Stegostoma tigrinum: one gene and its partner. The protein of the gene in region 2 interacts with the protein of the main gene of each other region in a pairwise test. Links are inferred from orthologs where the notes say so. Each region holds a gene or a part of one and is shown on either strand. Other genes may lie near its edges.

Region 1 (3,925 bases), on a different chromosome or scaffold from region 2:
CTTTATTTTAAAAGTTTATTTAATTACGCCCTAATGTATCCTTTATGCAGTCGGTTGCTACGACCTCATCTTGTTTTTGTCTTGCCTCTCTCATCATCCTCTGGAGCAAAAGATCACATTTGCTTAAATACATTTGTGAATTGTCTACGTAGTTTTAATTATAACTGGATAACATTAATGACATTCTCGTCGTCTCTGTGTATACTGGATCACATTTTCTGGCCAAACCAATATACTAACCCAGAAGGACTATCACAAAACATGCGAAAGGAAGTGAGCACATCCAAAAGAGATTTGCTTCGAAATAATGTGATAGAAAACATGTGCTTTGCTCTAAGTTACGCGGCCTTAGCAATACAAAGTGCTCAAAATGTTAAATTACAGCTTTGGAACGGTGCGTGTGGAATATTCTGTCGATTATTGTGCGGAAAGTAGCTATATTGAGAATACTCACGAAGAAAACAGATGGATAAATAGACAAATCAGTCAGATAGATAGACACAGAAAGGGGGAAATATCCACCATTAATGCAAATTGAATTATTTCTCTGCATATATAGGAAGAATACAGCCAAAGACTAGACAGATACATGATCTTTAAAATATACTGATGCATGAACGTTCGCGAAAGAACATACATCTTAAGCTCTTTCTCTAAACCATTTTGGCAGTTGTTTTCTGCTATGATTCCCAGGAAGAGGCAGAACCAAACAGTAAAAGTAACAACCACTGGCTTAACAATAACTTTTTAGGAACTCGAAATATATGTTAGATATGTGTTGCGCAATTATCCATTATTAAAAACTAAAAACAACTTTTGAAATGACAGTCATATCTGTGTATGCCTGAACTCACAATTTAACATATCCGCGTCGCTCCACTTGATCATTTGTGGGCTGTCATAATTTCAAAAGATCAAGTAGATCTTCGGCTACATTAAACATTATACACGCTAAGATGCAGCGAATATTTTTCACTTAACTAACTGCGAACATCTAACTTTCTGTAAACTGTCTCATGTCAGTCTGTAAATCTTCTGGACTGCAAACCGATATGTACACATTGCAATGTGGGCTTCGCCTTGGTGGGCGAGGTAGTTTTTTTTTAAAGTATATCATGCTGCAGGTCGCAAGAAATGCACGTGTGAATGAGATTCCGCTATCGCTGATATCGTCCAAACAGTGGCAGAGCACCAGGTGGAACGTACAGGTCAAAACAAAACCACGCGGATCAATATGCACATTGCCTACAACTTCCAACAGGAAGAGCAGACGATCCATTTATTGTTTTAAATTATTATCAGGATGTGCCTTTCACTTGCTCAATGACAGCGCTGGAAAGGGTCGGAACAGAAAAAGCTCGAAGTCGGTAACTGTTGCCAGAGTTCAAGAATTGGCTACTTTTCTCCAGCTAGTTCACAAGATAAACTAAACCATGGCAAACGGAACAACAGCGGTGAACAATATCGGGACATATTCGCATAAGCACGCATCATGAGACTACTCGAATAATTCAATACCTACTTGTCAAATGTTTACTTCCACTTCTCATTTAAATACGGCAGATCACAGGGTGAGTAGAAACTCAGTTCAACATAGAATGAACTTTGAGGTGCAGCAGTGTGTGGTTTAAGTAGCGGCAGCAGCGGTACAGGTTGCTGTTCTCCGCACTCTGAGCAAGCGATCAGACTCGGACTGGCCCTACTCTCCCAATGTGCCTTTGTTTATGTGAGCTCCTCTTCCACCGGCAGCGTGTAACCAAGTCTCCGAGCGTCAGCGAGCGTCAGCGTAGCCAAACCCAATGAGCGCCCGAGGGCTGGGCCCGCACCACACGGTTGGCTAAGACTCACTTTGGTAAATTTCCGAGGTGACGTTAACGCTTTGGATTTTTAAGGTAGTTGGGGCATGACTTGAGGCAACCTTCTCACCTCCTCTTTCAGCATTTCCAAAACAACACGTAGTTGGAATATTCGCCGTTTATAGCTTATCGATCTTATTGATCACTTAGTTTGGATGTATTTTATCACGGTAAACTGCGTATTTTTTTTATTTCCAGTATATTTATTCCATTATTAACGATGTGTTATGTCAGTTCTAGTAATTCGGTAGAGCCCGCAAGGGAAACTGGTGAGTGTAATAGCTAGCATTGAAATAAAATTCCCATGTTCGCTTTAATCAATTGAGATTTATTCGTTTAAAACACACGTATTTTAAGGATCAGAGATAGTAGGAATCGCTTTAAGAATCGCTTGTTTTGGGTACGGGGGAGCGTCCTGTTAATAGAATGTAAAGCTTTAAAAACATCGGGGTAATAATAACTTCGGGTTGCCGGATGCGTGGGACAATAAGTTTCAGTTGTATAGATAAAACGCAGGTTTTAAAAAGAGCTGTACTGAAAATAGCGAATTTAGATATTTAACATCGCCGCTCTGCTGCAGAACTAAATATAAAAGTCCAACAGTTGTGTATATATTTTATACACTGGTGGAAATAATGTTGAGAGGGCGGACGGCTCTGGGAAAAGTCTGGTGACTACCTTTAATGATGTAAGGCGAGGAGCGGACAGAGGGAGCTCATTAATCCGGCCTGTTGCAGAACAGCGTCAGTGATTCGTGGGCGAAACAATTTAATGAACGAAAGGAAAATGTGAGCGGCTGCGCGCCGGGCCCAGCAAAGTGCCGCGTGACGCAGGAACGCTGCCATTGACGCAGAGAAGCGGCTCGGCCAAAAATAGCAGGTCTGGCACAGCACTGTCAGTCTGCAAGTGATGCACACAGGGGCAGGGCTTACTCCGGCTATTTTAAACCCCGTCGGAAACTCGAGAACACCAAATTAAGACATTGTGGATATTTTTAGAGCTAGTACTTTGGCGTAGGGATTTTAATTTTTTTAAAACACGGGGTCAAGTTTGCTTATATGTATTTGCAGGGACATGCTGTTTTGTGTACTTTATGTTGACGTTTTCTTGGCCACGATTACTCCACTTTTGTCAAACTCGCAATCTAGCAAGTCGTACAGTTTACCGGCAGATTCGCCTTTAATCACTATCCGGGCACCGTATCTTCTCCACCTGATGCATTTAAGGTAACAATTGTCAAGGGATAGAATAATTGATTTCCCCCCCCACCAGGGCTTTTATTTTCAAATAGACTTCTATCCCCAAGCCTCACTTCAAAGTAGGTTTAAAAAAAAGTACCATTACGCCCATTACGTTCCTAAATGGAAATGTTCTTGGCAGGTGGCATATTTCCAGTGGTTGACCGCTTTGTAGGTTCTTCATTTGGCTAGAAACAGTTGTATTCAAATAACCGGAACTGTTGAAGTTACACGTTTCATCCAGGAAGAGGCGCCCTCAATTATATGCCATCAAAACAATACATAATTTTGTCAAATTAAATTTACATATAAAACCCAAATAGGTCAATAGCACATCTAGTTTATTCACACCCTTACAGCAGTTGGCTAAATTATAAGCTGCCTCCAATATGCATCAAGGTTTGTTATCAGCTAGATCGAAGGCAGCAGAATAGATTGCATATTTTCTGGAATCAATGAAGAATAATTTAATGCTTGAAGAAAAAAATTAATTACTTACTACCCTATTGATTCAAATCAGATTCCATGAAAAGTTTACAATGGTAAATAGGATACAATTTCTGATTTTTTTTGTATGTAAGGGCTTGTTAGGGGTGTGGTAAGAGGTAAAGTAGAGGCACATGACACAGTAAAAATGAACAAAACATTTATTGTGACATGAACAGTACATCTGAATTGCAAACTTACTAAGAGTCAGCATCAATCAAAAGCAACTTCTTTAGAACCTTGTAACTCAAGTATTCATAATGCTTGCCACAAAGTTATTTTAGTTTTCCTTAGTATTTAATTACTCAAAAGGATACTTGGTTTCTTAATTCCTCATGATATAAA
Region 2 (3,925 bases):
AGATGCACAAACGCCACCACCTCCAGACATAGGCCATCCAACTTGTACATGTAGCACTGTACTTTCATTCTCACTTGGTTGAAATCCTTATCCTCACAACTGCCGTAGTACAGTTAGAGAAAAGCAATGCCCAAATCCCAAAGATCAATACATCAAAATTAATTTTTGTACTGAATAGCATTTTGGGGACTTATGGCTGGAGTTTTTGGGATTGAATTCCACAACTTTCTCCATTTTTCTGTATAAACTATAAGTGAGTGACCCTCTTTAATGTTTTTGTACCAGATATTGAATCCATTGCCATTTGAGTAAGCAAAGAATACACTTAAGAACTGGAGTAGGCCATTCAGCACGTCCTGCCATTCAGTTACGGTTCAGCTGTACTGCAGCAAGATTGCAAACTATAAAGATTCACCAGTTGTACATATTTCCAATTTAATGGCTCTAGGGAAAGGAATTTGGGCCTAACCATATTTGTGTGGGTAACATCGGAGAAATGGTTCTTGGGTGGAGCAGCAACAGTATAGGGTTTATTTCTGATATTGCTACTTGTAGAGAAAGAACCTACAATTAGACACAATTACAGTTTAGATCTTTGGTGGATTCTTGCCTGAGTAATTCAAGCAACAGAGTGGAAAACAGGCGGTAACAGATTGTGCTTGGTTCCTATTGAAATTAATGGAGAGAGGGGAAAATACAGAGCGGTGCAGGGTATTAGGAAAATAAAGTGGGGCAGGCATGTTAGTGGTGCATTTTAGCAACCCAGGTTTGTTACTTTGTACATGTTGAATTTGATTTGTTTGCAATCAGTTTCTGGGCATGTTTCTGTGTGCCCAGCAATCTGTGTCTGTCTCCCTCTCTGTCTCACAGCTGCAGAACAATGTAAACATTCTAATCATGTATCTCTCTGACTCTCCCACAGCTGCGAGAAGATGTAGACATTTGGAGACATCGCAATTACTACCTTCCCCTGTGATTGTTATAAATTTGTCTCTGTAACAGCCCTGAGGCACAGGGCTAGTGTGAAGTCTACCATGGGAACTCAGACACTCTGGTGTCAAAAAAAGATGAAAGCAGCCTCTTTTGTACAGCAGTGATGGGCTTTCAGAGTCCACTGCCTTGCAAGATTCAGTCATCCTTCCACATGACAAAGTACTAACCTCAGCCAAGGATATTTGGTTAGAGGGAAGAGATCCGAACACAGGACATCACAAATCCAAAGTCAGACCTTTTAGGAATGAATTTAGGAAATACTGTCACATGCAACGAGTGATAGAAGGTTGCAAGTGACAATTGCTCAGTCGATTAATCCTTATAATGCTGAAATCGAAAGATTGTTTTTGTAAACTGTAGTTACTAAGGGATACTGGACAAAGACAGAAATATGGAGATACCCAGATAGTCGCAGATCTACAATCCCCGTGAATATAGGGTGCCCGCTGTGGTCTAATTTTGGTTCGCGTTGCTACCTTATGCCCTTGGTGAGGACTGGGGGTGAGACAGAGTCCACTGCTAAATATTACTTAACACGGATGCCTAGCAACATCTTGTGAATAGCCTGGTAGATAATATACAAAACCTGCAATAATTATTCTAACCCCACCCATATTTAAAGCACTTTATTACCAATCCAATTTAAAACGCATCTTTTACTGCTTTCGGTTCAGGAACAGGGTAAATTTAGCTCAACAGCCGATCGACAACGCAGATTGAAACCGCCCTGTTGTACACATGCCCCACGGCAAGACTCCGCCCTTTCGTAGTAAAGTAACGTAAGAGTTACTGACATTTCTCAACAATTGTTCCTTTCACTGCTTTTTCTAAATTAAATCAACAATCGATTTTTTAAAAACTCCGTTTACACCTCTTCAAAATTCCATCCGGCCAACGGCAGGCAAAAAGAAAGTTATTGGATAGAGTTTTGGAGTCAAATGTCAAATTATTTCAAATCGGCATTTTAACGTCAGCCGAAGGGGAAGGGAACAGGGAACCCCTTGCCTTCATTCACAAATTATGACGACCCCAGTAGGTTACAACACCAGATTGCGCCTAAATATTTTATTTCACGTTTCATTACATCTCTGGGCGCTGTCTGGAAACGGGTTAATCTTCCGCAGCAGGTTTAACCGGCTGACATCTCCGTCACAAGAGGCATCGCAACAGTCATTTGCAATCCGAATGTCAGGCAAATCCCCAATTATTAATCTGCTGCGTTCGACAGTAATGCAGATTCTGGTAGGGCTTTCAAATTTGCAGATTTTTTTTAATATATAGAGAGGTAGATGTAATGCTGAAAAGGATTTCTCCCGGTTTAAACGGATGCGACTGTAACTCGGGGTTAAATACAGTATGCCGTTGCTGTCCTTATCACTATTTCAAGAGTCCAGAGGTACTACCAACCTGCAGTGCGGTTTGTCCGAATTTATTCACCGCATTGGCGTTCACCTTTTCTTCGGTCAGCAGACGCTTCACGTTTTGCCAGTCTCCCCGCACGGCAGCCTGGGACAACTTCTCGCCATCCGGCATAGTTTTCCCCATATTTATGTATATATTATATTTCCCAATGTTTAAATATTAGCTTTGCTTTAAAGCGCTCCGAGACTGGAGGCGAAGGCAAAAACGCAATGTTGTTGCGGCTGCAGTCTCTCTCCGCTTGCCGGGCAACTCAGCTCGTTCCCACTGCAGGGAGGAGTGAAGAAGGATCTGATTGACAGGCGCAGCCGCCAATCAGAAAAGCTGTCGCAGTCGCCACCCGGGCAATATTCTAAATCGCGACTCAATGTTTGGAGGCCGGGCCGAACGGCCAATCAGGAGCGAGACAGCCCGAAATGTGCAATAACATCCTGATGTCAGTTCTTTGTGACGTCATCTGTTTTTGTTACTTGTGGACCGCGGACGCACGCGCGGCTGCAGAGGAGCTGACAGCTCCCCCGGGTCGACAATAGCTGCAACTCGTGTACCAAGTGGCAGAAGAAGCGATGTATTTATATCACCCGTACCCTTCCCCAGCCAAAGTAAAATCTCGGGAAGCGTTACTGGACTGGAAACGTTGACTATGATTCTCTCTCTACAGATGCAACCAGGCCAGCTGAGTTTTGCAAGCAATTCTTTTTCTTTAAATCTCATTTGGGCTCTTGTGACACAATGATAGTATCCCTGCCTCTGAGGCAGGAGGCCCTGTGTTCAAGTCACTCCTTCTCTAGGAGGTGTGTACTCAAATACATCTTTACAGGTGGATTATATCTCACTTCCTCAGTTCAGATTGTACAAGAAGAATCTGGACCCACAGCCGCTAAACATTTAGTCATCCTGCCAAAATTCAATAATTCTGCCCATTTTTCCATAATTTTAAAAAATCAAATCTGTTCATATCTGGCGCAAGTGAGACTTAAATCCAGGCCTAGAGGTAGGAACATTACCACTGTACGATATGATCCTTTAATCTTCCACAGGAAATTCAAGATAGGCCGGAGGCCTGTGTAAGGATCAGTGCTGGCTCCACTGCTTTTTTTTGGCATTTATATTGGATTTAGATGTGAATATAGGAGGTATGGTTAGTAAGTTTGCAGATTACACCAAAATTGGAGCTGTAGTGAACTACGAAGAAGGTTATCTCAGAGTACAACAGGATCTTGATCAGACAGGCAGAGGAGTGGCAGATGGAATTTAATTTAGATAAATGTGAGTTGTTGCATCTTGGAAAGGCAAATCAGAGCAGAACTTATACACTTAATGGTCCTGGGAAACTTTGCCAAAGAGACCTTAGATAGCAGGTTCATAGTTCCTTGAATATGGAGCCTCAGGGAGATCATGTAGTGGAAAAGGCATTTGGTATGCTTGCCTTTATTGATCACTGCATTGAGTACAGGAGTTGGGAAATCATGTGGCTGTACACGACATTGGTTAGGCCACTTTTAGAATACTG

Evidence for each region.
Region 1: the proteins of cyclin-dependent kinase 4 inhibitor D-like (region 2) and nr4a2a interact in binary tests that used the Homo sapiens proteins (3 or more experiments, as listed by UniProt). The two-hybrid records come from large-scale screens. The link is inferred for Stegostoma tigrinum from reciprocal best matches to the Homo sapiens genes CDKN2D and NR4A2.

Annotation. Positions count from the first base shown.
Region 1 is NC_081360.1:56,816,205-56,820,129, forward strand, and holds the start of nr4a2a (nuclear receptor subfamily 4 group A member 2a), read right to left. Parts: upstream 2,615-3,925; 5' UTR 2,535-2,614; intron 1,705-2,534; exon of another isoform or gene 1,523-1,704; intron 1-1,522. UniProt on the Homo sapiens protein: Transcriptional regulator which is important for the differentiation and maintenance of meso-diencephalic dopaminergic (mdDA) neurons during development.
Region 2 is NC_081388.1:16,762,313-16,766,237, reverse strand, and holds the start of cyclin-dependent kinase 4 inhibitor D-like, read right to left. Parts: upstream 2,705-3,925; 5' UTR 2,539-2,704; coding exon 2,401-2,538; intron 1-2,400. UniProt on the Homo sapiens protein: Interacts strongly with CDK4 and CDK6 and inhibits them.